Linked DNA regions of Pelodiscus sinensis. The protein of the gene in region 2 binds, or shares a complex with, the protein of the main gene of each other region. Links are inferred from orthologs where the notes say so. Each region holds a gene or a part of one and is shown on either strand. Other genes may lie near its edges.

Region 1 (10,672 bases), on a different chromosome or scaffold from region 2:
CTGAGATATTCTGAGAACAGTCGGCCAAAATGGTCTTTGCCAATTTAATGCAAATACAGGTTGAACCACTTTAGTCAAGCATTCTCTGATCCGGCAACATCCATGGTCCAGCATGATTTTAGTTAGCTGGATGTCCACTTATGGGTGTGGCCAACATTCCCATGGTCCCACAAAATATGTTTACAGCCACCAGTCCTGGTTCTCAGTACTCTGTACTGGTAGTAGTTAGCTCTAATTTACCCTTAAATGTCTTCAAACTCATATCATCTACATTTTTGTTAGTCTCTAAGGTGCTGCAAGACAATTTGTTGTTTTGAGTTTTTCTAAGAGCCTAGTAAGCAGTGAAAATGTTGGTAATGCTGCTAGACAATATTGACCTCCCATGGTCCAGCAAATTCTCTGATTCAGCACTGCTCAGGTCTCAAGGATACCGAACTAGAGAGGTTCAACCTGTAGAATCAGTGTAGCTACATCCTGTCTAACTTTGCACGTGCCTTTTGGAATCAAAGGATAAATACGTACATGGGTCCTTGATCCCATAGTATGAGAAAGGCCTCTTGCAATGATCCTGGGCATGTGTCCCCTGCCTTTGCTACCAATTCAATAATGGAATTTCACACATCACTGGTGATGGTTTGTCTGCTAGGTTATTTCTGACTCCCAAACATAAGGAGTGATTTGAGGGTACCCCATTTTGATTACATCATGTCCGTTACCTGCTCGTTACTTCCATGTCAGGTGATGATCATGTATCTCATTGCTCCTTTAAACAGTATAATGAAGATGCATTGCCCATTAGAATATGAACTGTGACATTTTGTAGAACAGACTGGCAGCACAAGGACTGGCACCACTCATTACATCTCACTGCCATGGGCACCAGAAGGAAATTGAGGGACAGCTGTGACCATGTTGCCCTTTACACCACCGGGTACAATTTTGGGGACAATCAAGATGGACAGCAGTCATCAGAATCTGTTTATGCCATCCACTAACACATTACAGAATTACAATAGTCCTGCTCATCCACCCAATAGAGTTTAACACATTGACATCCCAAAGAAAACTAATTGCCCTCCCTCCTGCAAGATGGATACTCAGTAAACAATTGAGTTTACAGAGGCAATTACAGAGAGAGAGAGAGAGAGAGAGAAAGGATCTTTCTCTAGGGATGTAAGAATTTAGCTTATCAGTTAACATTACTGATTAACTCTCAGCTCGCAGGGCCAGCAGCCTCTGAGAGCCTGCAGAACATTTAACTGTGTAACCCACTGAATTTCAATTGGTTACACAGTTAGTGAACGGGGGTGCTGTTATTTTTACATCCATATCTTCCCCCCTCTGTCCTTTACTCCAATCCTGCTTCCTGGTTGGGGCAGAAGTGACCTATGAGGGGGCCCTCAAGGGCGGGGTCTCCAGCCACATGATCCCCCACTCTTCCTGTCCCTGCATCAGCCTCTTCCTGAACAGAGACAGTCCCAAGGTCTAGAGGGTCTGAGGCCAGTAGCAGAGGTCTCACTCTCACATACTCACTCATACCCAAGCAGCACACCAGGAGGGCAAAACAACTGAGGCCATCCTGTTCTACTTCCCCCTGCCACTGTTGGCGACATTGGTGAGGGGATCCCTCCTGCCAGCTGCTGGCCAACTCCTTCCATCTACAGTGTTTGGGTGCATGTAATTCCTCATGCCCTCCCCCTCGGGTTGGGGTGAGATAGTACCATCCAATCTGGAGGGAAGAAAAGTACTCTTATCTTTTTTTTATTTTAAGAGAGTAAGAAAGAGAGATGGTGGTGTAAACCAGTGATTTTTAACCAGAGGTACTCAAGGGTCTTCCAGGGAGTACATTGGGGTGGTCAAGATACAGCCCAGAGGCCAGGTCTGGCTTGACAAGCCTTTGGATCTGGCCCACAGCCCAATGGGACCCTCAGGCAGGCTCCCTGCCTACTGCAGCCCCAGACTGCTTGAACGCGGGTGAAGATCTCGCATGCTGCCCCCGCCAGCAGAACAATCCTCCACACTCTCATTGGTCGATAACTGGCCAACGGGAGCTGCAAGGATTGTGCTGGTGGCAGAGGCAGCACACAAAGGCTCCCCGCAAGGTACATAGTGTGGAGAGGCACATGGCACTAGCAGTCAGCTGCTTTGAGCTGCAGCAGGCAGGGGGATATCTGAGAGTCCTGCAGGTAGCTGACTGGGCACAGACCAGGTAAGTGCCTCCCAGCCAGAACCTACACATGGTAGTTCACCCTCTCCTGTACTCAAACTCCCTGCCCCAGATCATGACCCAAACCATAGGCACCCTTTCTGCCCCAGGTCACAATTGCCTCCAAGACCCTGAAACCCCACTTACACTCTTCTCACAGGCCAGAATCCTCTGCTGCACCCAATCTTCTGCCCCAAGTCACAACTCCCTCCTTCATCCAAATTCCTCCCAGACCCAACAAACATTCCTACACCTCAATCCCCTACTCTGAGCTAAGGATGTTAAGGACTAGTCAACTCTCTGATAAGCAAATACTTATCTGATAGGCCAGTCGACTAGTTGATTCCTCTCCCCCCCCCTTCCACTTGCTGCCTCTATCAGACAGAGGCAGCAAACGGGAGGGGGGGAGGCGGGAACAGGGGTTATTTCAAAGCGGCAGCACCACACGGAGCCCATAACCCAGGCTCCATGCTTTGAACACTGTGGCAGCATTTCAAAGGGGGCAGCGCTGCACAGATCTGACCATGGGCTCAGTGTAGTGCTGCCGCTTTGAAATGCAGTGTTTCAAAGGGGGCAGCATTGCACAGAAACCAGGATCAGCTATACAGCGCTGCCCCTTTGAAATGCCACAAGGGCTCTCTAGCTGACCCCAGGCTCCCTGAAGCATTTCCACGGAACCCGGAATCAGCTGGGGAGTCCCCAGCTGATCCTGGGCTCCATGAGGGTACTTCCGCTTTGAAACGCGCCAAGAGCCCCAAAGTGGAAGTGCCAGCATGGAGCCCTGAGTCAGCGGGACTGCCCGCTGGCCCCAGGCTACATGCAGAGGTCCGCATTCCTCCTTTGAAATGTACAAGGGGCTCTTGTGCATTTCAAAATTGGAAGTGCCTATCGACTAGTGAATTAGTTGATGGAAATTCCATCGACTTCTCAACTAGTAAATTAATCGTTATTTAACATCCTTACTCTTCACTCTCTTCTGCACTCAACCTCTATCCCAGACCCTGCTTCCCCTCCAAAATAAAGTGCAACCCTTGACCACTTATATTTTATGCTGAAATGTGCATACATTCATAATCCATTTGATTTTATAGTTATACAATACAAATGAAAAGGTATGGAATTCCCCCAGAACAGTGTGCTGTGACCCGTTTGTATTTGTCATGCCTGATTTGGTAAGCAAGCAGTTTTTAAATGAGATGAAACCCGGGGGCATGCAAGTCAAATGAGATGCCCACAAGGGGTACAGCAGTCTGGAAAGGCTGAGCGCCACTGGCATAAAGAACGGGAGATACTGGCGAGGAAAAGTTGGGGAAACAGCGCCCCTGGCATGGGGGGAGACTCAGGGCCCTGGCACGAAGGGACCAGGCAGGAGAACGGGGCCCTGCAGTGCAGGGAGAAGAACAGAGCCCCTGCTACGCGGGGAGTGGGGGCAAAGCCCCCAGCCCAGGGGTGACCCCGGCAGGGGAAGAGGAGGGCCGGGGAGAGGGGGCCCAGGCGCACAGGCTCTGCCACTGGCGAGGAGGGCGACAGAGGAGGGAGGTTCGGCCATGCCCCCGCGCTCGGGAACGGGCTCGCCCCGCGGGCCGGGAGACGAACCGGCCTCATCGCCCTGTGGCCGAGGCGCCGGCAGGCCCGGTCCCGGCGGGTGGCTTCCGGCCCGCTCCTCCCGGGCCGCCGCGGCCTGCACCCGGGGCCTGGAGGGAGGCCGCCGGCTCCCGTCCAGCCACCCCGCCCCGGCCCCTCGCTCGCTCGCTCGCTCACCCGGGCTCTTCAGGTTGTAGCGCGTCTCCATGGCGGGCGCCGGCTCCCGGCTATGCGGGGAGGGGCGGGGCCTGCGCGTCGGCGGCTGCTGACTCGGCTCCGGCCGCGGCCGGAAACGGGCCTGACGTGGCAGCGGCTGCTCTGTGACTCCCCCGCCCCCTGCGCGCCGCGCCAGCCTCAGCCCCGCCCCTCGCCCCTTCCAGCCAGCCCCCACCCAGACCCCTTCCCCGCCCCGCAGCCGCTCATCCACAGCCCCCTCCCAGTAGCACATCACCCCACCTCAGGGGTTAGGTCTCCAGTCGACTATCCCATAAGCAAATGCTAATGGGACAGTCAGTCAACTAGTCTGTCGCCCCAGTTGTTGCCTCTATCAGCTGAGCCCGGGGCTCAGCTGTGTGGGATGCCCCATTGAAACACTGCAGAGGCAGAGTTTCAAAGCAGCAGCAGCCTGGATATTTAACGGATATTTAACATCCTTACTCCCATCCCAATCCCATCCCGCCAATGCAGCTTTCGTCTCCCAATTTCCCTCCTGATCCCTCCCCATACGGTCCCAATTCCCAAAGCCCCTCCTCTTAACACCCTGATCCCCCTTCTGACACTGTCCCCATCCCTGATAGCCCTATTGATACACCCACCCCAAATACTCCTATTAATGCCACTCCATTTCTGATCTTGCTGATTTCACACCTCGCCATCCCTGATGTCTTTTCTGATACTGCCCCCATCCCTTTTACCACTTACAACTCAGTCCTCATCCTTACGCTTCCTCCCTTGATAACTCCCCCAATACAGCTTCTCATCCCTGATACTGCTCCTGATATTGCCCCTACCCTGATTCATTCCCTGCAGCCCTACTGATACTGCCCCCAGGCTGCCCACATAGCCCCTTTATTACTGAAGCAGCCTCACCATCAATGTTGCCCTCATCCCTGACATCACTCCTGATACCTCTCCCACCCTAATACTGCCAATGCTTCTACCCTGAAACAATTCTCACTGCTGACATTGCCCCCACCTCCATCCCCATCCCTCTCCCAATACCACCTTATTACCCATACTGCCCTCTCCTTGCTACCCTCACGATACCTTCTTCACCCTAATACATTTCCATTGCTGATACTTTCCCTATAGCTCTCCCAGTACTTTCCCTGCTTTGTTACATCCCCATCACTTATATCCTTCTCTGTACTACCTCACATAGTACCTTCAACCCATATACTCTCCAAATCCCTTTCCTGTGCTGATGCACCCTTACCTGGTATACTGCCCTTATTACTTGGATTTAATGCTCTCTATTACTTGGATTGAATGCCCTAGGGGACATTGGATCCTGATCCATAATTGAGGCACATAGGTGCTATGATAATGTACATGAATAATAAGATAATCAGGGCTCGACAAATCACTGAATCTACTCGCCCGTGGCAAGTAGATTTCAGCCAGTCGCCCCATTCACTGGCGGCACGCGCATGCGCAATGCGGGTCTCGTGCATGCTCAGTGTGGAGCTGGTGAGTAGGTTTTGTCGCCGTTTGTCAAGCCCTGAAGATAAGCATCTACATTTATTAAAGTAGCCTGATTTTCAGAGGTACTGAATTCCTGTCTATTTCTTTGGGAGCTCTGGACCAGCAGCATCTTTGAATCAGCCCCCTTTTACTGATGTACCTAATTTTAATCACTTAAGTTTGAAAATGTTTGTCCTGGCACCAGGTTTAACATTTATTTTGTTATTCCCTAGTTCTTGTCCATATCTCCATCTCTTTCTCATTTCACCTTTCTCATATCTCATGCCTCTCTGTAAACCATCAGCAGTGAATACCAGTTGCACACAGAAAGGTCGAACACTGGTATGGTTCTACAAACCGGTAATTTTTTGCCTGCATAATTATCTTTTTGTTTCAATTTCAAAAATTACTTTTCGTTTTCAACTCCTAAAATTGTTACGTAGTTGGTATAGCTTGGAGAGTTAAGAGATAGTTGCATTTCAGTAGTAGGCAAGTCATCTTTATGAATATAGGGCAACATTTGCAGTGCAGTAGTTGGAGGAACAGGGCATAAATAATCTTGCCTCTCCCTGTGACTCACTGTTACAGCAGGAGGACAGGATTCCAACACAGAACTCAGAAAAGCATTAGGATGAGAGATTAGCTAGTGCATCAGTTTGTTTACAAAAGAACCCACTGTTCTATAGTTAATGTCCAAGAACACATGACTCCCTCTTGGGAGCATAACCATCATAGAAACACACAGGTGAAGTCCTAGAAGGGACCTAATAGGTCATCTAGTCCAGTCCCCTGCATTCAAGGCAAGGATAAGTGACAACTTGACTATAGGTGTCTGTCTAACCTGTTCTTTAAAAACTCCAATGGCAGAGATTCCATGACCTCCCTAAGCAAGTTGTTCCAGTGAGTAACTACTTTGACAGGAAGTTTTTCCTCGTGTCCAATTTAAACCTCTTTTGCTGCAATTTAAGTACATTGCTTCTTATCCTTTCTCAGAGGTTATAGAGAACAATTTTCACCTTTCTCCTTGTAACAGCATTTATGTACGAAAAGAGTTCTCATGTCTCCTCAGTTGTCTCGGATTAAGCAAAACCATTTTTTTCAGTCTTTATAGGTCATGTTTTCTAGAACTCTAATAATTTTTTTTGCTCTCCTGTGGACTTTCTCCAGTTTATCCACATCTCCCCTGAAAAAATGGCATTCAGAACTGGACAAAATTCACCAGTTCAAGCCTCATCATTTATTGTGTCTTGCTCATAGTTCTCCTGATAGGTCCCAGAATATTTGCTTTTTGCAACAATGTGACACTCTTGACTCATATTTAGCTCATATTTGATTTGCAATAACCTCTAGATCCCTTTCCACAGTACTCCTTTCTATTCATTTTCCATATGTGCAGTTTATTGTCCCTTCCAAAGTGAAGTACTTTGCAATTGTTCTTATTGAACTAGCCAATTAGCCCATCATAAAATGGGATTTTCACGTCTCTCCTCCATGTCAGTCTTCTCTCCTGAGCCTCCGGTCTCTCTCTCTCTCAGCTCTCCTACGCCTCCTGCCTCTCTCTCTTTCTCTTCTCCTCCCCCTCCTGCCTCTCACTTGGGGGACCGCGAAACTCAAATGGCCTTTTGGGCTCCGCGCTCCTCGTGCTGCATGGGGAATGTGGAGCCCAAACGGTCGCTTGCACCACTTGCTCTCACGAGGCGGCCTGGCTGAGCAGTGCAGAAGTCAGCCGAGCGTCATGGCAGGAGGCGAAGGGGGGCGGGGTGGTGAAGTTCACGGCCAGGGGGCGGGGCCTGGAGCCGCTGTCACGCTGCACATCACTGCCCCACCCCCCTTCCTCTCCTGCCGTGGCACTCGGCTGACTTCTGCACTGCTGAGCCAGGGCACCACAGGAGAGCAAGCAGCCGTTTAGGCCCCACACTCTCCATGCAACTCAGGCCACCCAAAAGGAACACCCAGCATTTCAGTGTTACAGACTCTCAGACATTGGGCTACTATATATATGATGTAATCCTATTTACCTCAGACCATTTCTCCAGTTTGTGTAGATTATTTTGAATTTTAATTCTGTCATCCAAAGCACTTGCAATGCCTCCCATCTTGATAATCTTCTACAATCTTTATTCAGATTCGACCTCCCTTGTCTGGCACCCTCAGGACGTGACCTGTCCCAAAGGAGGGAATTTGCTGGATCGGGGTGGGCCCTGACACTGGCCTCTCAGGGCACTTCCCTTTCCTGAGAGCTCCTCAATTGTAGCAGTCCTGCGTCTTCCCCACCCAACTGGGCATTCCTGAGAATGGGGTTGCCCGGCTGCCCCGCTGCTGCCCCACCCAGCCAGGGCTTCCCGGGGACATGTCTCGCTGGTTCTGCTGCTGTCCTACACGGCTAAGGCTCCCCGGGTGATCTAGGTGTTTGCAAATTGTTTGCTTAATTATTTGCTCCATTTTTCAATGTCATGAAGTTAAACTGATTGTTTATGATTCCCCAAGTTGCTTTTGTTCTCCTTTTTATGGACTGACACTATTTTCCATCTTCCAGTCCTCTGGAATATCTCCAATCTCTCATCAGCAGTTTTAAGGGCATGGTGCATGTGAATTTGCCCCCATTTGTTTTTAAAGGATCTGTAAGGAGTAGCACAGCACATAAACTTGTTCATCCTTCCTCATTTAGGGTACATCCACACTGCATGTTTATTTCTGAATAAGCTATTGTGAAAGAGATACTCCGAAATAGCTTATTTTGAAATAGCACGTCTACACTACAGGGAAGCCAGGAAATTAGTCCAAGGCAGGCTCCCTTAATGTGGATGCACTACCTCAATTTAGAGCCCCAGTAGCACTGGGGAGTAATTACTTTGAATGGCCTGGAGGAGGAGCTATTTTGAAATAGCAGCAGTAGAGCGTCCACACTACAGCTATTTCAAAATATCTGTTTTGAAAGAGGTATTATTCCTCGTGGAATGAGGTTTACAGAATCCAGAATAAGCCACCCATTATTTCAAAATGTGTAGATGCTCGCAAATTTATTTCAGAATAACGTCTGTTATTCCAAAATAACGCTGCCATGTAGACACACCCTAAGCTACCTTGAGTCATCTTGCCACATACTAGTAGAATGGCCCTATACATGGCCAAACCCTTTCATTCTCTGTAAGGGTCATATTTTACCCACAACCTTTAAAGGAATTTTTATCCTCCTTTAGCCAGGAGAATTCTAAGAGTAATCCGGTTAATACTTGTGTTGTTCAAATAGTAATATTTAGATGAGTTGACTGTTGTCTCTGGGTTGTGCTTGGCAGCAGTTACGGCATCACTTTATATAGCTCACAAAGGAAGCACCTGCACTTAACATGAACTATTAGTTTCTAGCTAAAGAAGAAATACACAGTCATCATAACTGCATCAGACTAAATATTACAGAAACAATGCAAATACAGTCATAATTTTTATAATGTAGAAATCCATTGAATTTTCCCCCCATTCAATTAAATTACATCTCTGCCAGTTTGGGGCCATGGGTACCCATAATACTAGGTTTAACTGCACTTCTTGATTAACTTTATATACCCATATGAAGCTAGGTTTCAACTCCACAATTCTCCGTGCTACCTGCTGACTTGTTACAGCCTCCCTTTGAAGGACAGGATACACCATGGCTTCAAGGACCTCTAACTAGTTTCTAAAGGCAATACTCAAAAGGCAAGCTTTGTTGCTTGTTGACAAATACATGTTTACTATTACTTGTCATCTTATTATTATCTAGGTCGGGGTGGGGAATCTCAGACCCAGGGACTGGATGCGGCCTTGGCTTGCCTGGAGCTTGTGCTGTCCCTCTCCCCATGGGGCTGGAGCACACAAAATCTACTAGACTGGGCCCCCTAGGCTTTGGTGTGCCTGTAGAATAGGGAGTGTCTTTCTGCTTCTCAGTTAGGGGCCACATCAGTGAGGTATACAACAGGCAAGCCTCAAAAGTTAGGCCCCCACTACCATGCTTTTTAAAATTACATATTTGGAAGAGGGGTGATTATTTGCCTTCTGGTTTCCAAGCCTTCATCATACAAGCATCTTTGCAACCTTGAGGGCTAGAAACATTGTTTTTTAAATGAAAGTTGAGATTCTCATATAATCACTTGACTAAGCAGGGGCTTTGCTATAAGGAAAAGCATCAAATATCATGTAATTTGTAGTGAAGTCACAAATGTTGGCAACACTACATTGGATCTGCACACACTGTCAAGTGATTTAATGAGTCTATTTCCCATGCTGAAAAACTAGAAGTGCTTAGCTGTAGCATGCAGAAACTACAATACCTGTATTCACATGGCTATAGAAAAAATATTTCCTTCTTTAAGACTATATGCAGTCACCATAGAATTTTGCAGCTCTTCATAAATAGTGACCTACTTCAGGACACTTAGGATACATATTAACTTCTCAAAAGAAATCAAAACGCTATCAGTTTCATTTATGCACTCTGGGCTTCTGCTTATTGTATTAGTTATATATAGCCTATATATAATTATGAAGTGATATAAGTTGATGGAAATTTGTATGTTAATACTGATTAACTCCTTCAGTTGGAAGTAAAAAAGTGTAAGGGACATTCACGTGCTTATTTTAAAGGGCACTTCTGTTCAATTACAGCCCTAAATTTAGGTTGTGGGAAAGCTTGTTTTTTAAAAATGTAAAATGACCATGACATTTAAAGAAACAGAATGGAAATCCCATGTTTGTAAAAAAAAAAAAAAAAAAAAAAAAAAAAAAATCTCCTCTATGCTTCACTGCTCAACACTACAGGCTCCTGGTAGTACATGAGTACCTAATAGGGTTTTTTTTTTTAGTAACCAGCTAATCAAAAGTAAAAGATGAATCATCATCCAAGCTGAAGAATGCAAAAAGTGAACAAAAATAGTTTTATTTTAAAATGTTCTGTTCTTTCCGTTTTAATAAACCAACATATTATTTGTAACATAGGTAAGATTATTTGATTTTTACCCTGATGTTATCCAAGTGGAAGTTTTATATCATAGCTGCACGAGTCATCCTCTATAGTGGTGACACTATAATATACAACATAATGTAAAATGTAAGGCTTAACTAATTTGACAGTGTCTCCATATATATATGTGATACAGTGATTGTGTGTTTAGTGGAAAAATGTTGATGCTTACATAAAGATAGCAGATACCTTAAGTAACGTCT
Region 2 (10,292 bases):
GGATGTGGAACAGAGAGAGTGCTTGTGAAAACATGGCAGGGTCAGAGGCTAAAGTAAAGAAAGAACAAGTTAAAACTTACTTAGACAAGTTAAGATACCTTCAAGCCACCAGGGCCTGATGAAATAATAATTCAGACTGATCTGGACACACTAGAGAAATGGTTGGAGGTCAGTAGAATGAAGTTCAATAAGGACAAATGCAAAATACTCCACCTAGGGAGGAATAATCCGTTTCACACTGAGGCTGTGTCTAGACTGGCAAGTTTTTCCGGAAAATCAGCCGCTTTTCCGGAAAAACTTGCCAGCTGTCTACACTGGCCGTTTGAATTTCCGGAAAAGCGCTGACGATCTCATGTAAGATTCTCAGTGCTTTTCCGGAAATACTATGCTGCTCCCGTTCGGGCAAAAGTCTTTTTCCGAAAGACTTTTGTGCAAAAGGGCCAGTGTAGACAGCACAGGACTGTTTTCCACAAAAAAGCCCCAATCGTGAAAATGGCGATCGGGGCTTTTTTGCGGAAAAGCGCATCTAGATTGGCCATGGACGCTTTTCCGCAAAAGTGCTTTTGCGGAAAAGCATCCTGCCAATCTAGATGCGCTTTTCCGAAAATGCTTTTAACGGAAAAACTTTTCCGTTAAACGTATTTCCGTAAAATCATGCCAGTCTAGATGCAGCCATACAGAATGGGAAGCGGCCGCCCAGGAAGAAGTCCTGCAGAAAGGGATCTAGGGGTCATAGTGTATCACAAGCTAAATATGAGTCAACAGCATGACCCTGTTGCAAAAGAGCAAACATCATTCTGGGAGTGTTGTCAAAAAGACACGAGAAAGTGATTCTGCAGCTCAACTCTGCGCGGATTAGGCTTCAGCTGGACTTTTATGTCCGGTTCTGGGAGCCACATTTCAGGAAACATGCGGACAAACTGGAAAGGGTCCAGAAAAGAGCTACAGGAATGATGAAAGGTCTAGAAAACATGACCTATGTGGGAAGATTGAGAGAAGTGGGCTTGTTTAGTCCGGAAAGGAGAAGACGGAGAGGGGACATGCTAGCAGTTTTCAAGTACCTAAAAGGGTGTTATTAGGAGGGAGAAATATTATTCTCCTTAACCTCTGAGGATAGAGCAAGAAGCAATGGGCTTAAATCGCAGCAAAGGGGTTTAAGTTGGACATTAGGAAAATTCCTGTCAGGGTGGTTGAACTCTGGAATACATTGCCTAGGGAGGTTGTGAAATCTGCATCATTGGAGATTTTAAAGAGCAGATCGGATAAACACCTGTCAGGGATGGTCTCGATGGTGCTTAGTTCTGCTGAGAGTGCAAGGGACTGGATTTGACGACCTCTCGAAGTCCTGTCCCCTCCTACGAGTCTGTGAAAACTCAGCTTCTTATTTATGCGAGCGTTACCTTCTCCATCACAATCTGTAGGACATCCATGCACCCTGGTACTTTTGTAAATGAAATTGGCCTTTAATGTGGGAACCACGTGTGACGGCGCGTCGGGGTTCCTCCGATCCTGCAGCCCCGGAGCAGCAAGAACAGACTCCATCAGCCAGTAGAATAGAGGGGTTTAGTGCTTCTCCCGGATACAGCCCGGCACAGATGTGACGTGGCTACAGGAGTCAGGGCCAGGATGCCTCAGGCTTATCGGAGAACAGCTGCCGGCGGGAGCGCAGCACCTCTCGGATCTCGGCCTGCTGGGCCAGGGTGAGCCGGTCCGAGAGGGAAATTGACTCCAGCAAAGAGTCCTCTCCGGTCCCAGGGAACAGACCCACCAGGGGGTCCTCCCCCTGCTCCTCCCAGGGGTTGCACACGGCCAGCACCAAGTTCTCCCTGTCCCAGTACGGCTTCATCATGTTAACATGATACACCCGCTGGCTGCACATCCGGCCCGTCAGCTCCACCACATAGTTCATCTCGTTCAGCTGCTTAACGACCCTGACGGGGCCGTCCCAGGCGGCTTGCAGCTTATTCTTCCGCATGGGGATTAGGACCATCACCTGGTCCCCGGAAGCGTAGGCGCGGGCCCGTGCATTGCGGTCGTCCCAGACCTTCCGCTTCCTCTGGGCCCTGCTCAGGGTCTCTCTGGCCAGGCCCATCAGCTCAGCGAGTCTTTCCCGGAAGGCCAGGGTGTTTTCCACCACCGACTCGCCCTCGGGAGAGGCCTTTCCCTCCCACTCATCTCTTAGTAAGTCCAGGGGTCCCCTCACCCGCCTCCTGTGACGGGATGCCCCCTCCCCGCACTGAAGCCCCCAGGGTGCAAGCCCTGTTTGGGGCCTCGAGCGCAGAGCACCGGTGGTGTGCCGGGTGCTCCCACGCCGCTGGCAAACCCGGACACCACGGTGAGCAGTGATGCGAGCGTTGCTGGGGGGGGGGTGAGCTGGGGGACCCCGGGTCAGGGGTGGATGGGGGAGAGGAAGTAGCCCAGGGCACAACCAGAAGGGTTGGTGGGCTGGCGCGTTTCAGCTAGGCGCCCCGTCAGCTGGACCAGATCACGGAGGATCCGTGTCCTTAGCGCCCATGGCTGGATCCCGTGAGTGATGACGGGTCCAAGCCCCCCTCCCTCTCCGACCTGGAGAGCATTGGATGCTTCGTCCGGCACCTACAACGTAGGACACTGGACTCGAGTTGCACCTGAGCGAGGGCGTGGGGGAATCAGCAGTGGCCGAAGGGGGACTGCCCCAAGAGGGCGGGGCGCAGCCCCACCCTGGACACGGTCACAAGGTGGTGGAGAACGTGGGCGCTAGAGGAATCCCTCCCCGAGCAGAAAAGGGGGGAGTGGACCATGCATTGTTTGTTCCCCGTTAGAAGCAAAGAGGGGAGGCGAGCCGCCGGAGGCGCCGACCCCAAGCGGCCGTCCAGAAGATGGAGCCGGTCCAGGTTCTGGAGTGGATTAAGGAGACACAAAGGCAAAGCCAGCAACAACAGACGCTACTGATCCAGCAGCTGTTGTTGCAACACCAGGAATAGCAGTGGCAGCTGGTAAGAGAACTAGCGGAACAATTCAAGAGTCAGCAGGACCAGTGGATGCGCCAGACCCGGCCCTCCCCGGGCCAAGGCGAGAAGGGGAATGAAGACGACGGCAGTGCACCGCGATTGACAGTCAGGTTGACTAAGATGGGACCAACGGGCGACCCAGAGGTGTACTTGACTACGTTTGAAAGGCTCGTCACCGCGGCCCGATGGCCAGAGGCCCATTGGGCCACGATACTGGCCCCCTACGTAACCGGACCGGCGCAATTGGCCTACCGCAGCTTAAGCGACCGGGAAGCCTTACATTATTACAAACTGAAGGAAGCCATATTGGACCAAATGGGCATTCCGCCCGAAACATACCGACAGAAGTTTAGAGGCGAATGATACAGCGTCGGGACGCGGCCTCACGTGACGGCCCAGCGACTCGAGCCGCTTGGCGTTGGCTGGATCCCGAACAACGTACGGGGCCACAAGTGGCCGAGCTCGTCGTGTTGGAGCAATTTGTAAATATTTTTCCCAGCGGCGGACAGCGCTGGGTGAGGCGGCACCACCCCTCTACCCTGAGCGAGGCCGTGGAGTTAATGAATGACTACGAGGCCGACGAGTTGGTCGAGGGCACGAGCCGGGGGGAAAGGTCTACCCCTGCTGCGCGAGGAGAACCGGCCCGGGGGTTCCAACCCCAGGGAAGCCCCGAGGTGGACGGCAGACGTGGGGCCGGGAAAGGGGGGGCACTGAGGCCGTTAGCTCCCCCTCCCCCGGGAAATACCCCGAGAAAAGCCGGGCTGCCTGGCCGAACGGGGAGCTCCTGGGGCACCTCCCTGTACGTGAACAGCAGGTGCGGTAGGTACTTGTCCCAGTCCTGCAGGTGCTGGTGCATAAAGGTCCTTGGCATCTGCTTCTGAGTCCCACCGAATCTCTCCACCAGCCCGTTGGTCTGGGGGTGATATGCCGAGGCCCAGGTGTGCTGGACCTTGCACTTCTCCCAGGGTCGACATGAAGATCCTTGGTCCGTGAGGACCTCCCGGGGGAACCCCACCCTGCTGAAAATGGTCGGCAGTGTGTCTGCCGCCGTGTCTGCCTCGATGGAGGGCAGGGCCACGGCCTCGGGGTAGCAGGTGGCGAAGTCCACCACCTCCAAGACGTATTTCTTCCCCGTCCGGGTCGCTCTGCTGAGGGTTCCCACAATGTCCATCACCCCCTTCTGGAAAGGCTCCTCTATATGGGTAGGGGCCTCAAAGCAGCCATTCCCGGTACAGGAATCTCTGCTCCCACAGGAACCGCTCCTGGCAATCTCCCCAGGTCAGCCCAGTCCCTCAAGGTCCGCAAGGAGGGATCTGCCTGGACTTCAGCAGCTGGGGCAGGGACAGGGACCTGTTCCCCCCCACTACTTGGGTCCGGAGTCCCAGCTCGGCCGGGCTTCGTGTCTGCTGGGGTGGGGGCCCGTGCCCCCTGCTGGGAGCCCTCCCCTGGGTCAGGATCACCAGCCCCTCACTGGCTCTGGCTACAGGTGGTGACCAGGGCCCTGTGGGGTCCGTCTGGCCACTCCTCTAGGTCCCCCCCATCAGCACCTCCGTGGGTAAGTGCCGGTGCACCCCCACTTCGTTGGGGCCCTCCTTAGCCCCCCATTTCAGATGCACCCGGGCTGTGGGCACCTTAATTGGAGTCCTGTCTATGCCCCTACAGGAGTCTGGGCCAGGATGCCTCAGCCCCCTTGAGATGGGTCCCTGGGCCCCTCGATTCCAGACCCCTCCTTAGACTGGTTCCTTCATGATTCCAGCCCCACACTGCCCCTTCCCCCAACACTCACTTCCTAGTTCCCTCACTGCCCTCAACCAGTTGGGTCTTAGGCAGCCCCCCTGCTGGGAAGTGCTCTGGCCACCGGCCAGTAGGGGTCACTCACAGCCCAAGCACAGGGACCAGTAAGGTACTGACACTACATCACACCGTGTCCAAGGAAGTCTGGGATCAAGGAACCAAGGACAGCCTCAGGCCTGGTCTACACATAGCAATTCACTCCACCCTGCTATGTTGCTCAGGGCTGTGAAGAAGGCACATCCTGTCCAGGGGATGTCATTTAATTAGGCAGACCTAGCCCCTGGTGTAGGCATGGCTAGATTAAGGGAAGAATTCTTTTGTCGGCCTAGCTGCCATCTCCTGGAGAGGTGGATTAACTGCACCATAGAAAACACCCGTCTGACACAGAAGCGTCGACACGTTGCGATGCGGCTGTAGCGTAGACAAACCCTCAGAGCTGGTGACAGGACGGTGCTGTATCCCAATGTCAGTAGGATCTGCCAGGGGCTCTGTGCACATGTAGAGGTTACAGGAGATCCCCCCCCATCACTTAGGCTGCACCCCTAGCAGGGGTTCCACCCCTGTGGCCGAGGCCTGGCCCCCTTGCCTTATGCCCCTCCCCATGGCTTTCTCCATCAGCGTCCCCTCTCCATCACCTCCCACTGAGGATGGGCCCCATAAACCCCCAGGCTGTGTCTACACTGGGCCACTTATTCCGGAAAATCAGCCGATTTTCCGGAATGAGCTGTCTACACTGGCCCTTGAATTTCCGGAAAAGCAACGACGCTCTACTGTACAAAATCAGCCGCTATTCCGGAAAACCTATTCTGCTCCCGCTCGGGCATAAGTCCTTATTCCGGAACACTGTTCCGGAAAAGGGCCAGTGTAGACAGCCCAGTAGTCTTTTCTGGAAAAAAGCCCCGATCGCAAAAATGAAGCTCGGGGCTCTTTTCCGGAAAAGCAGCCTGCCAATGTAGACGCTCCTTTTCCGGAAATACTTATAACGAAAACTATTCTGTTTTAAGCATTTCCGGAAATTCATGCCAGTGTAGACAGAGCCTGCCATTGTGTGGGTCAGCCCCCCTGAGTGGCCCTATGCAGCTTGGCTCCACCTAGCCCCACCCCTGCGCCTGCCACATGGCCTAGGTCCGACTGAAGCCCTGTGGATCATGTGACTCCAGTTTAACCAATCAGCTTGGCTCCCAAAGTTGGCTACAATTTATCTTCCTTCCCTCTTTCAATGCTGCCATCTCTGGGCTGCTCTTGCCCTTTAAGAGCCGGGCGTGACGTCATCATCCAGGCGGCCCTCGCCTTCCTGATTGGCTCGGGCGAGTGCTGACTCGGACCAATCCGTCCTCGCCAGATGCCAGCCCCGTCCCAGCCCCACGCCGGCCTCGCTTCCGAGGGCCCTTCCCCGGAGACTGACCAATGAGGAGCTAGATCAGAGGATTGGCACAGGCGCGGCCCAATGGCGGAGCTGGCTGCGGCGGGCAGGGCGGGCCCGCGCGAGGCGGCAGGCAGGAGGGCGGAAGCGCGGTGCGGGAGCGCGGGGAAGATGGCGGAGGCGCGGCCGGGGCTGCTCCTGCTGCTGGCGCTGCTGGCGCCGGGGCGGCCGCTGCCCGGAGCCGCCGGGAGCCTCAACCTGCAGGAGCTCAGCGAGCTCAAGTACGGGATCGAGATCGCCGCCGAGCCGGTGCTGGCCGGGCAGGTGCGTGGGGGGGGGCGCGTCGGGGGGGGCAGGTGCGTGGGGGGGGGCGGGCAGGTGCGTGGGGGGGCGCGTCGAGGGGGGGCCGGGCAGGTGCGTGGGGGGGCGCATCGGGGGGGGGCAGGTGCGTGGGGGAGGGGCCTGGCAGGTGCGTGGGGGCAGGTGCGTGGGGGAGGGGCCTGGCAGGTGCGTGGGGGGGGTCTGTCGGGGGGGGGCCTGGAAGGTGTGTGGGGGGCAGGTTCGTGGGGGGGCGCGTCGGGGGGGCATGGCAGGTGCTTGGGGGGCAGGTGGGTGGGGGAGGGGCCTGGCAGGTGCGTGGGGGGGCCCGTCGGGGGGGGGGCTGGAAGGTGTGTGGGGGGCAGGTGCGTGGGGGAGGGGCCTGGCAGGTGCGTGGGGGGCAGGTGCTTGGGGGGGCGCATTGGGGGGGCAAGTATGTGCAGGTCGGTCTGGGAGGTGCATGTTGGGGGGGTAAGTGAGGGGGCGGGGGGCAGAGGTCCCAGAGTGGGAGGTGAGAGGTCTGGCCAGGGGGGGTGCTGGAGGGGAGGGGCCCCACAGGTATGTGTAGGGACTGAACCGGCACGGGGGCAGTTAGCTGGGGAAAGTGGGGGCAGGGCCAGTGTTTCTGTGGGGGTTGGTCTGGGGCAGAGGGAGCGAGCGGATGGGGGGTCCTAGGAGCTGGCATTGGTTGGCAGGGTCAGGGTAAGACTGGAGCGAGAGGGGGGCTGGGGTAGGTAGGTGCCAGGGGCCAAGCCCATGTGGAAACTCCCTTTCAGCCCATCTCCCCCATCCTGGGGCCACGTCCGACCTGGTGCCTGTGCAAACACATCCCCTTTACTTGCTCCCAACAACCGACCCCTTCCTGGCATAGGCCGGGGCACCGGGCTCAACAGCACCCTGGCCACTGCCCCGGCGGCCCCCGTGTTTACTTCTCCGGCCGAGTCAGGCGGCTGCGCTTGGGACTTCCACCATCCGAGGCCTCACTTTCGCACGTGCCAACGGGGAGCTGGCGCAGAACGGCCGAGGTGCGGCGTCACGCTGCTGCTCGGCCGTGCGCTTTGAAACAGCGACTTCTGGCGCAGCTGTGTGCACCTTGTTCTGCTTTCTGGCTGCCTGCCTCTCTGGATTAACGCCGCCTGCGGAACGGCGGGGAGGGTGGCCAAAATCTGCTGAAACCGCAGTCGCTTTCTAGCACCTGATTCTTCTCCACGATTCTGGCCTGGGGGAGGCTTAGCTAAAAGCAGAAGTTTGGGAAGTTGGCTTGTGTTTGCATCCGGAGAGCGCCTGCCAGCTGCTGCCCGACATGCTGGCTCGGGCACTTTGTGCTTTGTAAAGGCGAGAGCCTGCTCTTGTGCACATTCAGCATCACGGTGTAAATTCGGAGAGGGGCCCTGCGGCCCTGGGCAAGTCGTTTAGGCCTCATCTAAACAAGCAGGTTGTGCAGCGGTTTGGCTAAATGAGACCGGTATTGAGGAAGTGTTACCCATCATCCCCAGCGTGGACGCTGTCTTCTGACAGTGGCCAAGAGGGAGCAAACAGAACAGGGAATCATCAAGTGATCCCTCCTCTGTCGCCCAGTTTCAGCCTCTGACAAACAGCGGCTCTTTTTGGAACCCTGTTAAAGTCCTGGCTTTCACAACATCCTCTGGCAGGGAGTTCCACAGGTCGACTGTGGGCTACATGAAGAAAAACGTCCTTTGGTTTGTTTAAAACCTACGACCTATTCATTTCATTTGGTGACCCCCTCGTTCTGATGTTAAAAGCCAGTTTGGCGCTCTGCCCCCTAGGCGATGCTGCCTGTCAGAACTGACGCGCTCAGCCCTAGAGTTGCCGTATCGCCGAGCCAAGGTCACGAAGCCGGCGCCAGCTCCCTCGCAGCTTGCTCTGGTCTAGCTTGCGTCCCTGAAGAGCGGGTGGAAGCCACTCTGCCGTAAGCGGCTCAGAAACTGAGACGGCTGCCCCCCCATGGGGATGCACTGGTTTCCATGGGATCCGGGCACAGCTGCAGTGAAAGCCATTCCCGCTGGTGCCTGGGCGAATTGTGGAGCAGAACCGGTTTCCAACCGGGGTTGGGCAGGATTTGGGTTTTGACGAGTATCTCTCTTCTGATTGGCGTGGGGTGAGCAGCAGACTTGGCTTCCAATCCCAGCCCTGCCACTGCCTCGGCGGCCTTGGTCATGTCACCTCACTGTGCCTTAGTTCCCTAGCTGCGTGATGCCGGACGCCTGGTATGGCAGGAACAGGAGGAAGCCAGAGCATCTAGCCACCAGGCTGGCACCTTCCTGCTCCCTCAGACCTCTTGGCCCTGTTCTCCTTCGCTGACGCCCCACCTCCGCCCCCTAGAGCCAGCCGGAGGACGTGGTGGTCGTGGCGTCCAAGTACAAGCAGAAGTACGAGTGCCGCCTGCCGACCGCCGCCCTGAGGATCCACCTGGACGCGGAGGAGCAGCCACAGAGTTACCAAGGCCTGGGCATCTCGGATCTGCTGCGGCCCATGGAGGCTGCGCCCTGCCTCGTGAAGGTGACTCCGAGGGATGCTGTGTGCTTGGGGGGGGGGGAGGTGTCTGCAGGCCTGTTGGCCCCCCTGGAAGCGGGCTGGCTCCTGGGGAGGAAGGGGGTAGACAGGATTCCTTCGGGGGGCCCTGGGGAGCTGGCAGCACCTGCTCCCGGCCTCCGGCGGCCTGGCCGTCAGCAGGAAAGCTGTCAGTTGTGAGGTCCGGGCGGACGGAGGAAAGGCCCCCGTGGCACGGAGCCACCGCTGTCTTTGCCGGCCCTCGAGGGGCACACAGCAGCCCCGGCAGCATGGATCTAAGGGGGCTGGGCTGGGGCCGTGGCCAGTGGGGTTCTGGGGGGCGGGGCAGCTCCTGGGCTTTGTGGAATTGACGCGCCGGCTCCTGCCTCCTTCCCAGACCAAGGACTGGTGGACGTACGAGTTCTGCTACGGGAAGCACATCCAGCAGTACCACGTGGAAGGTAACGCTCGCTGTGCCGGGCCCTGCTGGGGGGCAGCGTGGGGGGGGGTGAGTGGGTCCCCCCGCCCCCGGGACACCCTCGGCTGAGAATGTGGCCAGCCCCTCCCTCTGGGGCCTGGTCTGCGCCCGTGGGGCGGCTCGGCTGGCAGATGGGGGAGGCTGCCAATATAAACGCTTGGCAGAGCAAAGAAGCTACGTGGGCGCCGGGGGTGGCAGCGCCCAGGCCTATGGAGACGTGTGACGGGCACGGGGGCCGTGGTCTCTCTGCTGGGGTCACGTAGTGCCCCCGTGGCCTCCTGTGTCAACTCCCCCCAGCTCCCTGGGGCTGCCCTGCCAGCTGGGGGGTCACTGCGTGATCGGCGCGGGCCCCTCTCCTTGGCATCCGCGGTGGCAGCCGAGCGCGGGGGCTGGGGGCAGGGATACTCCGTGTTAGATCTTGGTAGCAAAAGGGGCTCCCCCCACCCCGGACGGGCCCAGCCCTTCCCCTGAACCTGATCTGGGTGGGGTGTTGACCTGGCTCTTGTCCTTGCACTGAGGCAGGGCGATCTGGTGCCCCTCCCCCCCCCCCCCCCCCCCCCGAAGTCTGGGGCTAGCCTGGACTTGGGCCTCTGGCCTGCCCCAGCTGTCCCGCGGCACCGGGGGCCAACAGCACATGGAACACCCGGTCCTGCCCGCCCTCCCTGGGTGTCTCTCCCCGGGGCCTGGCCGTCCTGGAGCTCTAACGGGGGTGGCTGGGGTCTCTTTGCTTCCCAGAGTCGGAGATTAAAGGGGACGTCCTGTACCTGGGCTACTATCAGTCAGCGTTCGACTGGGACAACGAGACGGCCAAGGTTGGTGCGCCGGGGTGGGAGTCCAG

Evidence for each region. Proteins that work in one complex are often made in the same cells at the same time.
Region 1: OS9 (region 2) and UBE2J1 share a complex: the UniProt entries of both Homo sapiens proteins name them as parts of the HRD1 complex. The link is inferred for Pelodiscus sinensis from reciprocal best matches to the Homo sapiens genes OS9 and UBE2J1.

What each region holds. Positions count from the first base shown.
Region 1 is NC_134713.1:64,155,670-64,166,341, forward strand, and holds the start of UBE2J1 (ubiquitin-conjugating enzyme E2 J1), read right to left. Parts: upstream 4,124-10,672; 5' UTR 3,999-4,123; coding exon 3,968-3,998; intron 2,210-3,967; exon of another isoform or gene 2,131-2,209; intron 1-2,130. UniProt on the Homo sapiens protein: Catalyzes the covalent attachment of ubiquitin to other proteins. Functions in the selective degradation of misfolded membrane proteins from the endoplasmic reticulum (ERAD) and is essential for cells to recover from ER stress.
Region 2 is NC_134729.1:2,613,460-2,623,751, reverse strand, and holds the start of OS9 (protein OS-9), read left to right. Parts: upstream 1-6,284; 5' UTR 6,285-6,318; coding exon 6,319-6,471; intron 6,472-8,808; coding exon 8,809-8,985; intron 8,986-9,373; coding exon 9,374-9,437; intron 9,438-10,189; coding exon 10,190-10,266; intron 10,267-10,292. UniProt on the Homo sapiens protein: Lectin component of the HRD1 complex, which functions in endoplasmic reticulum (ER) quality control and ER-associated degradation (ERAD).